Schizosaccharomyces pombe: one gene and its partner. The protein of the gene in region 1 interacts with the protein of each later gene in a pairwise test. Each region holds a gene or a part of one and is shown on either strand. Other genes may lie near its edges.

Evidence for each region.
Region 2: the proteins of nup45 (region 1) and SPOM_SPBC56F2.07C interact in a two-hybrid assay, tested with the Schizosaccharomyces pombe proteins (one large-scale study listed by BioGRID).

What each region holds. Positions count from the first base shown.
Region 1 is NC_003424.3:750,095-756,229, reverse strand, and holds nup45 (nucleoporin Nup45), read left to right. Parts: upstream 1-2,824; 5' UTR 2,825-3,019; coding exon 3,020-3,074; intron 3,075-3,076; exon of another isoform or gene 3,077-3,150; coding exon 3,151-3,757; exon of another isoform or gene 3,758-3,800; coding exon 3,801-3,887; exon of another isoform or gene 3,888-3,933; coding exon 3,934-4,042; exon of another isoform or gene 4,043-4,098; coding exon 4,099-4,390; exon of another isoform or gene 4,391-4,429; coding exon 4,430-4,557; 3' UTR 4,558-4,583; downstream 4,584-6,135. Other genes in the region: protein cum1, read left to right, coding at 728-1,150; iss1 (fip1-like pre-mRNA polyadenylation factor), read right to left, coding at 1,400-2,243, 2,291-2,343, 2,389-2,526; serine/threonine protein kinase Ppk8, read right to left, coding at 4,642-6,117. UniProt on the Schizosaccharomyces pombe protein: Functions as a component of the nuclear pore complex (NPC).
Region 2 is NC_003423.3:4,098,538-4,104,075, reverse strand, and holds SPOM_SPBC56F2.07C (ribosome biogenesis factor recycling AAA family ATPase), read right to left. Parts: upstream 3,539-5,538; 5' UTR 3,496-3,538; coding exon 1,066-3,495; 3' UTR 852-1,065; downstream 1-851. Other genes in the region: protein tam13, read left to right, coding at 317-604; puf1 (RNA-binding protein), read right to left, coding at 5,146-5,538. UniProt on the Schizosaccharomyces pombe protein: ATP-dependent chaperone which uses the energy provided by ATP hydrolysis to generate mechanical force to disassemble protein complexes.

The DNA of each region.
Region 1 (6,135 bases):
ACATCTTACCATACACTCGATTTGAAAGGGTTCCTTTTATTATTGTTTATTCAGATGAAAATGGTTCATTCAGTTGATTATTTTATTGCTTTTGCTTCATTGCAACCACTTATAGCGGATTGCTTCGCATATCTATACCGCTCCTTACATGTGTTGTGATAGAGAGGTAAAGAATTTCAGACATCAATTGAAGCAACAAATTCCAATTTTAATACTTACATGATTTTGGCTTCAACTAGCTCGGGATGATATCCCATATTTTATGCCCGACACCGTTTGTCATCCGCTTAGTCGTGATACCCGTCTGCCACATAGCGAATGTCAAAGGATTATGCTACTTTACGTGAGAATGAAATATAGACTTTACACATCGCCACATGATGGCATCGATAGAGCTGCTAGTTTCAATTACTTTCAATTAACGAGTGAAAAGCGGATGTACCGCATCATCTGTTGAGCGAAATAGTCTACGTAAAATCAAATGGGCTAATTTGTCGCTGAATTAACCCAAAAGCAAAAATACGATTGCAATTCTCATTACGAAATGCTGAATGGGATGGAAAATAAATTGATGTCACAATTTCCGAGGACTCTTACAAATATTATATATAGAGCACGGGGTACATCACTATCGATTCGAATTTTCAAGAAGTAATATTTCGCACCGTAGTACTTTTTGTAAGCCGTTTTATTAAATCAGAAAGAACTCCAATTTTATTTATAAACAATGCCTGATCCTAATCGTGTTCTCGCTGGCAAGAAAGCCACCCTACACAATCCCAATGTATCACAACAAGCCAAAGAAAGAGCCGAAGACTATATAGAAAGTCATTCTTCCGGCCAAGAGACTGGTGATTATTCCGCTCAAGCTGGAGGCCGTGATCTTGATTATGAGGATCTCGGTGATTATGATGAGGATGCAGACTTTGACAACGAGGAGGGTCTAAATGTGTTGGGAGATGAGTCGGGTTTTGTTGATGATCCTATGAAAACAGGTGATTTGGTCGAAGAAGATCAACTTGAGGGCAAGAACATTGAAAATGTCCGAGGAGGTTATAAAGCTACTATGCATAATCCTAATGTATCCAAGCAAGCCAAAACCCGCGCCCAAAGAGCCCTTGAAGAAATTGATGATGAAACCCAAGCTTAATTGCTGCCCAGTTGATTACCCGTCATTGCTTTGATGTGTCTGAAGTATCTTCAGTTTTGATTTTATGTTGTTAATACAGAATTCCATAGTAATGATGAGTATACATGTTTATGATCTTATGAATATTATTTCATTCACCAGCTTTTAACTTTTGAAACCGTTGTCCTTGTAGAAGTAGTCGACACCCCATAGCATACAATTAAAACGATTCTCCTAAGATTTGCATACACAAACGTTATTGTATTTATCTTAATATCTGTTGCGTCGATATCGGCCGCCAGAACCTCTAGAGGAGTAGTTGGAGTATCTGTCCGGAGATGGTTTTCGCCTTGATGAGGAAGGATAGTTGCTACTGTGAGGATGGTTACTAGGAGGTCTTGAGGCATTATAGTTCGTAGAGGCTCCATTCCCATAACTCGATGTAGGATTATGAGTAGGTTGTGCATGCGTCATACCAGCACTCGATGTAATATTAGGGGAATTCGCTGGACTTTCACTTTCACGTCTAGAAGATGAAGGATTGTTATTTACATACGCATTAGGTGTAGCTGCACCTGAATGAACACCACCACCAGATGTATGTGTAGTATTATAGTTTGAAGATGCATGGACTGGAAAATTGCGCGAGTACCCCATATCCTCTTGTGGGCCTCCAATAGGCGGAGGAATAGGCATAAATGGAGGAAATCCAGAAGCCATCATAGCTTGAAACTCGGCAGGTGATGGTACGTTGCCAGAAGGTAAAGGACCCGGGATCTGAGCAAGACTTGCCATAAATTTTTGGGGGCTAAAGTCGTCACGCAAAGTCGTTTGTTTGGCACAGTAAGCAGCCCATGTAAATTCATCAAATCCATAGTTAAAATAATCTGAGATATCTGCACCAGGCTTGCGCCATGGTTTATCATCAAAAGACTCCAAATCAATCTCAAAAATGTTTTTACCATCAATTGTAGGAACAGCGTCAATGTCAACTTTAGGTGCAGTTTCTGCTGTCGATAAATCTTGGGGTTCTGTAGTTTTTACTTCGACAGCAGTTTTCTCTACTTGAGGTTTAGCAGAAGGTCGGGTTGAACCTAATGTTGCAATCGATCCACTAACATTATTAGTATAATCTGAAATCAATTATTTTGGTTTACATACCCTAATGGTTCTGCTCTTTCACCTGGCTTTGTTTCAATGATAAATTCAATATCCTACAAAATTAGCAGTTAGCAGTATCATTTTAATTGAAATCTTACTGAATCATCGCTTTCTTCACTTGCTTGCTCTGGTGACTTGGCATTTGACACTGTAACTCCATCATTCCGTTCCTCTATGGTTTCTCCATATAAATATTCATCCTCATCAACATCCATGTGCTGATCAGCATTTGACATAGTAAAAACCCACTTCTAAAATGTATATGGGGCAAGTCCATTCATTGACTGAGTCTCGCACCTGAAATTATGGATTCCTTCTTCTTTACCACTTAGGGCCATTAGTCCACTAAACATTGTACCGAGTTGTACGGTATATACTAGTGGACTTCATAGCGTACTTCATTTACCTGGGTAAAAATATTTTGCGCTAAAACGGGTTGAAACAGACCAACACTCGTGAAAGCCAACTTAGTGAGCCACATTGTAGTTAACACTAACAATTGAATTTGCTCTGCGAACACAGCAGTATTTGACTATACGATACCCTGAAAGCTAGTTCAATTTGAAACTTTAGATAACTAATCTTTTCCATCTTTGCTTAATTATAATATTAATCATTGATTGTGATTCTACAATTACCCTTTTTAGAAAAGATAACCTGAGTGGTTTTTCATGATAATCTTTGCATGGTATTTACACTAGGGACATTCGTGTATTAATACTTTAAGCAATGTTCGGGTTAAATAAAACACCCTCATTTGGGTCCACAGGAACCCAAAACCAAAGTATGTTTCTTTAGGTGAACAAGTCTTCAAGTTTACTTTTCGAATTTTGTGCTTATTCATATATTAACCTTTTCAGATACTGGTACTTCTGCAGGCACAGGACTTTTTTCTTCTAATACTTTTGGTAACAATACGCAGGCCAATACGCCCGCTTCGACTGGGTTTGGAGGCGTAACAGGAGGAGCTTTTGGTCAAACAAAACCTCAAACTGGTGGAAGCTTGTTTGGAAATAAGCCAAACGCTACATCTACTACCCCCGGCCTAAATTTGTTTGGACAAAACCCTCAAGCGGCACCTGGTGGCAGCCTGTTTGGAGCTTCCACTACTAAACCTCAAGCACCTGGTGGTTTGTTCAATCAGAATCAAACACAAGCACAACCTGCTCAAGCAGCCCCTACTGGAGGATTATTTGGATTATCTGGTCAAAATCAAACACAATCGCAAACACAGCCTGCTCAAGCAAATACTTCTCTTTTCGGACAGTCTAACATCGGAACTACAGGAGGTCTATTTGATCAAAACCGCCCTAATACTTCGACTTTTGGTCAATTTTCTACACAACCAGCTTCCGCTGGCCTTTTTGGTCAATCCACACAACCGTCTGGTTCAACTGGTTTTGGTTTAAGCAATAATACTCAAACTACTCCATTCTTTTCTGCAGCTCAGCAGCAACCGTCAACAACGTAAGTTAATTATTAAATTTTTTTTTCATTAACAAAAAAACAGGCAACTCCCTTCTAATCCAGCTATTAATGCAACGACGAGATACTCGAGCTTAAACGCTAATACTCAAAAATTTTTAGATGACTTAGAGTATGTGTTACCTTATGTACAAAATTTGTTCTAATCATGTCCGTAGCAAAGAAATTTTTAGCCAAATCCAACTTGCAGAGGAACTACAAACTAAGTTGGGGACTGTTTCCGAATTGGTTGAATCCGTCCCTAATGATGTCGCTGAAGTACAGAGAGTGAGTTATTTCCTTCTATTATCTCCAAGTTTTATTTGTTTCTAACTAAAATAAAGCGTTTATCTTCTGTCTCGACTGCACTTTTAATTGATTCCGACGAAATTGAAACTACGAAGCGTGTAGTTGACGAAGATACTTCGAATGCTCGCATTAGTTCACGTATTTTGGACGTTTTTAAAACACCTGGCGCAACCTATCCCTTCGCGTCAAACGATCCCCTAATGAACTACTTTGAGCAATTTACAGAAAACGCTAAGAAACGTACAGATCTGTATGCTGCCACTATTGGTGAACTTGAACAACATTTGGAGCAAGTTGAGACTACGCCACAGAATAATAGTCCCGAGGGTATGCCTTTAATTTGTAAAACTTGTATTAACTATCTAGCATTACTGAAAACTATCAAAGAGGAGCACAAATTATTCATGGCTCTTAGTAATAGATTTGCTCAAGTTCACGATGAAGTAAAGCGTCTACAAGTGAACACTTCAACGTCCTTGCCCTTTATAAGTTAATAGCGATCATTAAAGGGACTTCATAATCCTTAACATCATAAAAAAAATAAATAGATAAAAATCTCTAAAGTAGACAAATTCTCCTTAGATTAGAGTTTTCCGAACTTGTTGCATCCATGTAGTGCTTCGTGCTCCCGAAATGCTACATCTTGTATTAAAATCAATGTCCAGCATATGATAAATCGTATCTCTTGAGTTCATCGGTAAAGATTCTATCAATTGGCTTTTCGTGTTAGGGTCATTTCGTTGAGTAACGTATAAATTAAAACGTTTATCCGATGTATGCGGCACTTTCCATGGAAATCTCTTTAAAGCAATACAACAGTAAACAATTGCACAAGACCAAACATCTACAGCGCTCGGATCATATGGTTTCTGAGTAAGAACTTCGGGAGCAACATATGGTTTTGAACCGACTACACCATCAGACATCAGAGTGGTTGATTCAAATGGATAATGAAAAACAAAAGCAGTACCAAAATCAATAATCTTAACATTTAAATTTTCATCGAGCATAATATTATCTAATTTTATATCACGATGAGCAATGCCAAGGGAATGCATATAAGCCACGCCATCTAACAATTGAAAAAACATTTGATCAGCTTTTAAAGCAGAGCAATGACCTTTGGTAATAAAGGTAAAAAGATCATAAGGAACATACTCAATTATTTGTAAAATAGTATGCCTTTTGTATATAATGTCTAATACCTTGATGATATTGGGATGCCTGAGTGTCGACGCAAAAGTGTACTCTGCAATGAAATAACGTACATACCTGCGCAGTAATGAGGTATCTAATGGAGGACGAAATACTTTGGCAACGTAAATTGGCAATTTGTTTCGATCATTAATGACCCGAATGAAAGAGCTCGCTCCCTCCCCAATGACATTATTTAACTTTCCATAAGGTGTATCAGTTACGGAACATTCCGGGTTTACAACTCTCTTTCTTGATCTCGGGTTGATTCTCTTAAAGATGCTAGCATTGCTACCAGTTACTTTGTGTTTCAGCAATTTTCGAAGATCAGAAGTATGATTGTAGCAAGCAATAGGCGCCAGAGCGAAGCCGGAGTTCCGTTTTTTTATAAAATTGTCGTTTCCGTTCGGAAGGATATTAATTCTGATCTTCATCTTATCATACATGCTACTATAAAATGATTTAGACTTCTTTTTAAAGTGAAACTGAGGTGGGATATCGTTTGGATCAGAAGATGGATTTTTTCGATAAAGTCTGCTATATGGATTACCACCATTTATGCCATCATTAAGGGTAGCAAATTTCGATTCTGTGGAAGATGACTCTTCCGACATAGATGTTAAAGTGCTTGATAGTGATGAGTGAGTAGTCGATAATTCCTGTAAGCTATGAGCATGATCGAGAAGGTAATCAGATTTATCGCTCTCTTCACTCTCAATGGAGTTGGTAAATGAAATCACAAAGTTTTCGGGTAAAGTTGTAGATGCCGTTAATAATAAGCTACTTCGAGAATATTTAATGTAGGGGTATGAACGGACGGGCTTTAAGTAATTCGAAATAACTTGATCATCCTGTTTATTCTAATATCATTAGTTAGC
Region 2 (5,538 bases), on another chromosome or scaffold:
GATTTATATCGTAGCTTTTCAAACGTTTCAAGTTTATTGTTTACTTCGTTGCAGTATGTTGAATAGTGAATTTTATCGCTTTCTCAGATAAGTGGTTTCAAATAATTGGTATGAGATGGGTTACCCATAAATCACTTCATACTGAAATCATCGGCTACTTTTGACGAATTGGTGTTTGGGGAGTAACAAGAGTATTGTAGATACACATATATATATATATATGGGTGTCTAGCTCAGGATATCATCTTCTACAACGTTGCAAGACTGATAACTTACTAAACTTTGAATCTATCTGCCCTTAATTCCAACTTCCGTTATGCAGAACTTTATGAACAACTTGAGTGGTGGTAGCAACAAGGAGGGAGGCGAAAAGTCTAATGACTTTTTGAGCTCTGCTTTGGGTGCAGAAAAGCAAGTGAAACAGGCTCAGACCATGAAGAAAATCAGCGATATGTTTCCTGGTAGCACCAGCGAGAAACTTGCTATTTTGAACAAGATCAACAGTGCAAGTGGTGGTCGTGTTTTGGAAACTCTCGGTGAAATTGAAAACTCATCCTCCTCACAAGATGAAATTATCACCAAGTTGAAGGGTTTTTTGAAGTAGATGTCTGCAGCGGATAATCATGGGAGACGACTAAGACGAGGCCGTGCCTCTCCTTTTTTTCTAACAAAAGAAAGGCAAAACGTATGTATATCGTTAACTTTTCTGCACTGTATCGCCGATGTCACTTTCTGTGGACTATTTGTCGCTTCCATGTTACGTTAGTACATATCAATGTTTCTCTTTAAAAATAAATTGACGAGTTTTATGACTTTTTACATCTCTCAATATTTTTTTAGTGAAATGGTCTATTTTTTGTAATGCTGATAATGTGCAGTAGAAGTAAATTGAGCATAATGTATAATGTATTGTGAATTTCGTTCTGCAATCACTTGTAACATTTCTAGCTTTGTAAACACTCGAAGTTTATTAACCACACATGTCATCTACAATACACTAAAACCACAGAAAAAAAGTATTATATTAATAAACAATGAAACCCCTAATATCAATAATATTTTTTCTCAGGAAATGCTAGTAACACTTTCTGAAAACGATGCATAATACTCAAGCATATCTCGGGTTATGGCTTTCCGCAATGCCAATAATGCTGTTTTAAAGTGAGCTTGACATATTTCTTTCGCTTCCAAATCCTCGTGCATAGCTATCAGACCAGCTTCCTGACAAAGAGCCACGACTTCCGCTCCTGAGCATCCTTCCGTTTTTTCCGCAATCAAATCCAAGTCTACATCCTCTGCAAACTTCATTTTTTCAGCTTGTATCTTCACAATTTGCTTTCTTGCTTCAAAATTTGGTGGTCCAACGTAAAGCAAGCGATCCAAGCGACCTGGTCGCATAAGTGCCGGATCAATCATATCAGGGCGGTTTGTAGCAGCAAGCACAAGTACATTCCTAAGCGCTTCAATCCCATCTAATTCATTCAGTAAAGCTGCAACTACCCGGTCGCTACTATTGTCTTCTCCTCGATTCGCAGTCAAAGCATCTATTTCATCAAAAAATATAACTGATGGACTGGCTTGTCTTGCTTTTTGAAAAACTTGCCTAACGGCTCGTTCACTTTCACCAACGAACTTATCAAATAGTTCTGGTCCTTTGACAGCAATAAAATTCAATCCAGTCTCTGTTGCGATGGCTTTGGCCGTGATTGTTTTTGAACAACCAGGAGGCCCGTAAAGAAGTACGCCTTTCGGAGGTCGAACACCCAATCGTGAGAAGGTTTCGCCATGAGTTAAAGGCCATTCTACTGATTCTTTTAGTTTCTGTTTCACCTCTTCTTGTCCTCCAATATCTGACCAATGTACATTGGGCGATTCCATCATAAACTCTCTCATAGCACTTTGTCGGACAGACGATAAAGCAAACTCCAAATCGTCCATCTGCACCGCACCGAAAATGTCTAATCCCGAAGTGTCCTTTTGTAGTGAAATTGTCCTTTTTATAGCTCTTAAAGCAGCCTCACGAACAACAGCTGCTAGGTCTGCACCAACATAAGCGTGCGTTCGTGAGGCTAGATCTTCCAATTGAGCATCATTAATTTCATTAGGAACACCTGATAACAACAGTTTAATGATATCTAATCGGGCGCTTTTATCAGGAATACCGATTTCGATTTCTTTCTCTAAACGTCCGGGTCGTCGAAGTGCTTCATCAATAGAGTTAGGTCGGTTTGTAGCAGCAATAACAACAACTTTTCCGGCATTAGCCATTCCATCTAATAGAGTCAACAAAGTAGCAACAGCTCTACTCTCCGCTTCACTTACGTCCTCCGTTCGTTTGGGAGCCAGTGCGTCAATTTCGTCTATAAAAATGATTGAAGGTTGATGCGCCCGTGCGTCTTCAAATATTTTTCGAAGCCTAGACTCAGTTTCTCCAAGGTACTTTCCGACCACAGAAGGACCATCGATCGTAAACACTTGTGCATTTGCTTCTGCAGCAACAGCCCGCATAACCATCGTTTTGCCAGTACCTGGAGGACCATATAACAGAACACCCCGAGGAGGCATAATATTAAAAAACTTAAAAAGTTCGGGATTTTGAAACGGAAGTTCTACAATGTCACGAATTTGGGCGATTTGGGCTTGTAAACCACCAATCGACGAAAATGTTACTGCAGAAGGAGGACCGTCGAAGTTTTGAGTCTCTTCACTTCCTTGGTTGTATGCAGACTGAGTTCTGTCTTCATGAGGTAATTTTAATAAATCAGGTGTTTCAATTTCCATACTGGAAGCTGCCGTAAATTTGTAAATACGAGGCTCATCTAAAGACATATCAGAAATTGCTTCTATAAGGTTTGAAGGAGAACGAATGTGAATTTCTTTAACTTTATAAGAGCCGGGAGAAAGCTCATCGAGATCTTCTGTTGCTTTTGGTTCAGATTCATTCACGGAGGGAGAAGATTGAGAGGACCCTACTTCAGTACCCGATTGCGCAGATAAACCTGAATTTATTTCAAAAATTTCCGTAGCCATATTCTCTGAGCTGAGATTTTTGCTACCACTCTTTGCCATATTCATCGGTGATTCACCCATAACAATCATGCCTGGATGAAGATACCTTATTTCTAGCAATTCTTTCCTTATTAAGGACTCTGGTATAGGTTCATTATTGCTACTCAATGAAGCAACAATTTTGATTCCTTCAGCTTCTTTTAAAGGGTGTACATATTGTGAAATGTTAACTCGCTGGAAGGCCTTCAAGTTTGCCCATTTCGCCAATAAAGGACTAATTAATATTTCAAATGGACCTATTCCATTTCCCTTAACTGATTGGGTTATTCCAACAGCTTCACCGCCTTTATGTTTCAAATAAATTACTTGTGACGGAGAAAGCTTAAGACGATTCAAAGCAGCAGGACTTAAGAATACGTGTCGAGTTTGCTGCCTTCTTAAAGAGCCATCGTTTATTTTAACAGTGAACTTAATAGCCACAGACATTAAATTCCTAGTATGGAACAAAATTTAATTTTTGGTTTTTGTCAAGCCCTGTTTCATAAATACTGTACTACGTTCGGCTGTCCTAAATGTGTTCTTAATTACAAATAACTGAATATCAAATGTAAAAAGTTTTTGGAATTAACATTTAGTTAACAATGATTGTTTCTATTACGAGTTCTTTATTTTAATTTGAGAATCGATATTGAAACACTATAGTACCGTATGAAAAAACGAATAAATATCCAAATCACTAAAACTGAATTCGTGAATAAACTATATAATGCTAGAACGTTTTTTTTTGTCTTAGGAATTTGGTTAACTATTTGTGCATTTAGAATATCGTGTGTTTTTTGCTACAGCTAACTCCAGAAAAGGAAACATAGGAGTAGATCCCATTCTAACTTAGGTCACTTCACTTGTTCCAACAGAATAAACATATACTGCATTTCTATGTCAGTAATCATTAATTACAAGGATTGCTATCACATAAAACATTTGTTTATTGATATTGTGTCGAATCGAATTGTTATTTAAGGTTAGGTTGAAAAGGTACGTATATGAGAAACAAAATAATTATTTTTATTGTAAAGCTTTTTTTTTTTTAAAATTAAAACTTTTTTCTATGGCAAATTAAAAAACTCAAGCATTCGGAAGCTTAAAGAGTGCGTTAAATGAACGTTCCAATAAACTTAACATAACCCGAATAATCTCCCTGGATATAAATTCAATCAACGGTACAGTAATAATTATACAAACAAAAATAGGACTCCAAAAGAAAATAAAGGCATGGTAATAAAAAGACTCTGACTTCATGATTGAAATTGGCGAAGACAATCATTAGCTAAGATATAGTTGATTTTACTCAAAATTCACCAATCCAAAAAAATGAAGAAATCTTTTTCTAACCCGTAAACATCATCATAATTCTTTTTTTTTAGATTTTCCATAATAGAAGTTGTGGCATCTTCTGAAAAGAGAATGGTTTAGACCACAACGTTCATGCTTAATGTTTGATGAATGCATAAACATATTAGAATTAGAAAACAATAAGTGAAAACAAAACCCAATAAAGTTTATAAAATAACAGAATAAAAAATAAAAACAAAAATCTTCCGTGCATTTGCGTGGTCACGTTCGCGCCCGAAAGATATGAAATAAGTAGTAAATAAATTCCTTCATGGTTAAACGTATGGCAGAATTAAGAAATCAGCTTATACATATTAGAAATATAAAACCATCAAAGGGTAGATGAAATAACCAATTACTGGCAATGCATGGGTGGTATGCACTACTTAGTTGTAGACGATATCCAAACCATTCAAATGAAAAACACAAAGCGGCGAAAAAGTTTTCAATATTAATTAATTGGCAAAGAGCGTTTGCGTTAAGGAAATAATTTCAAAGAATGGAAAGGAATATGGCACAAGTAGTACTATATTCCCAAAAACATTACACTTAAGTATAATAGGAAAAACGATAAACAACATTAGCGAACAAAGAATGATTCGATAACAAAGGACATTAAAAAATGAAGCGAATACGTATTAATTCACAAACACAATAACAACCATGACGACAAATGTGAATATATACAAAGACATATAAAGCGAAGGGCACTTATGTCTAACGTCAGTATTTTTTAACGAAGGACTAATTGAAGCGCAATTCCCCTTGACGAGGGAACAACGATTGCTGAAGACGAGGGTAATTACCAGGGAACACCTGGGGAAGTTTAGATGATAGACGAGGTAAGCCATAGTCAGCTCCGGCGGTATGATTCATTAACTGGGTAGTGTAGGGATATGCAGGCATAGTTAATTTTCCGGCGGGAACCTCACGACGAAGTAAAGACGAAGATGGGTTGAGAAGAGAGGAGTTATTCAAACTCGCTGACTTTGCCAAAGTGGGATTTACAAGCGAAGAGGTATCTAAAACGGGAGCTCCAGACTTGATATCATCACTACGAGAAATTTGGTATAAATTACCCTTCAAGGGAAGAGAAGCAGTGCCCAGGGGTATGTGCGAAGGGTATGAAGGGTACGC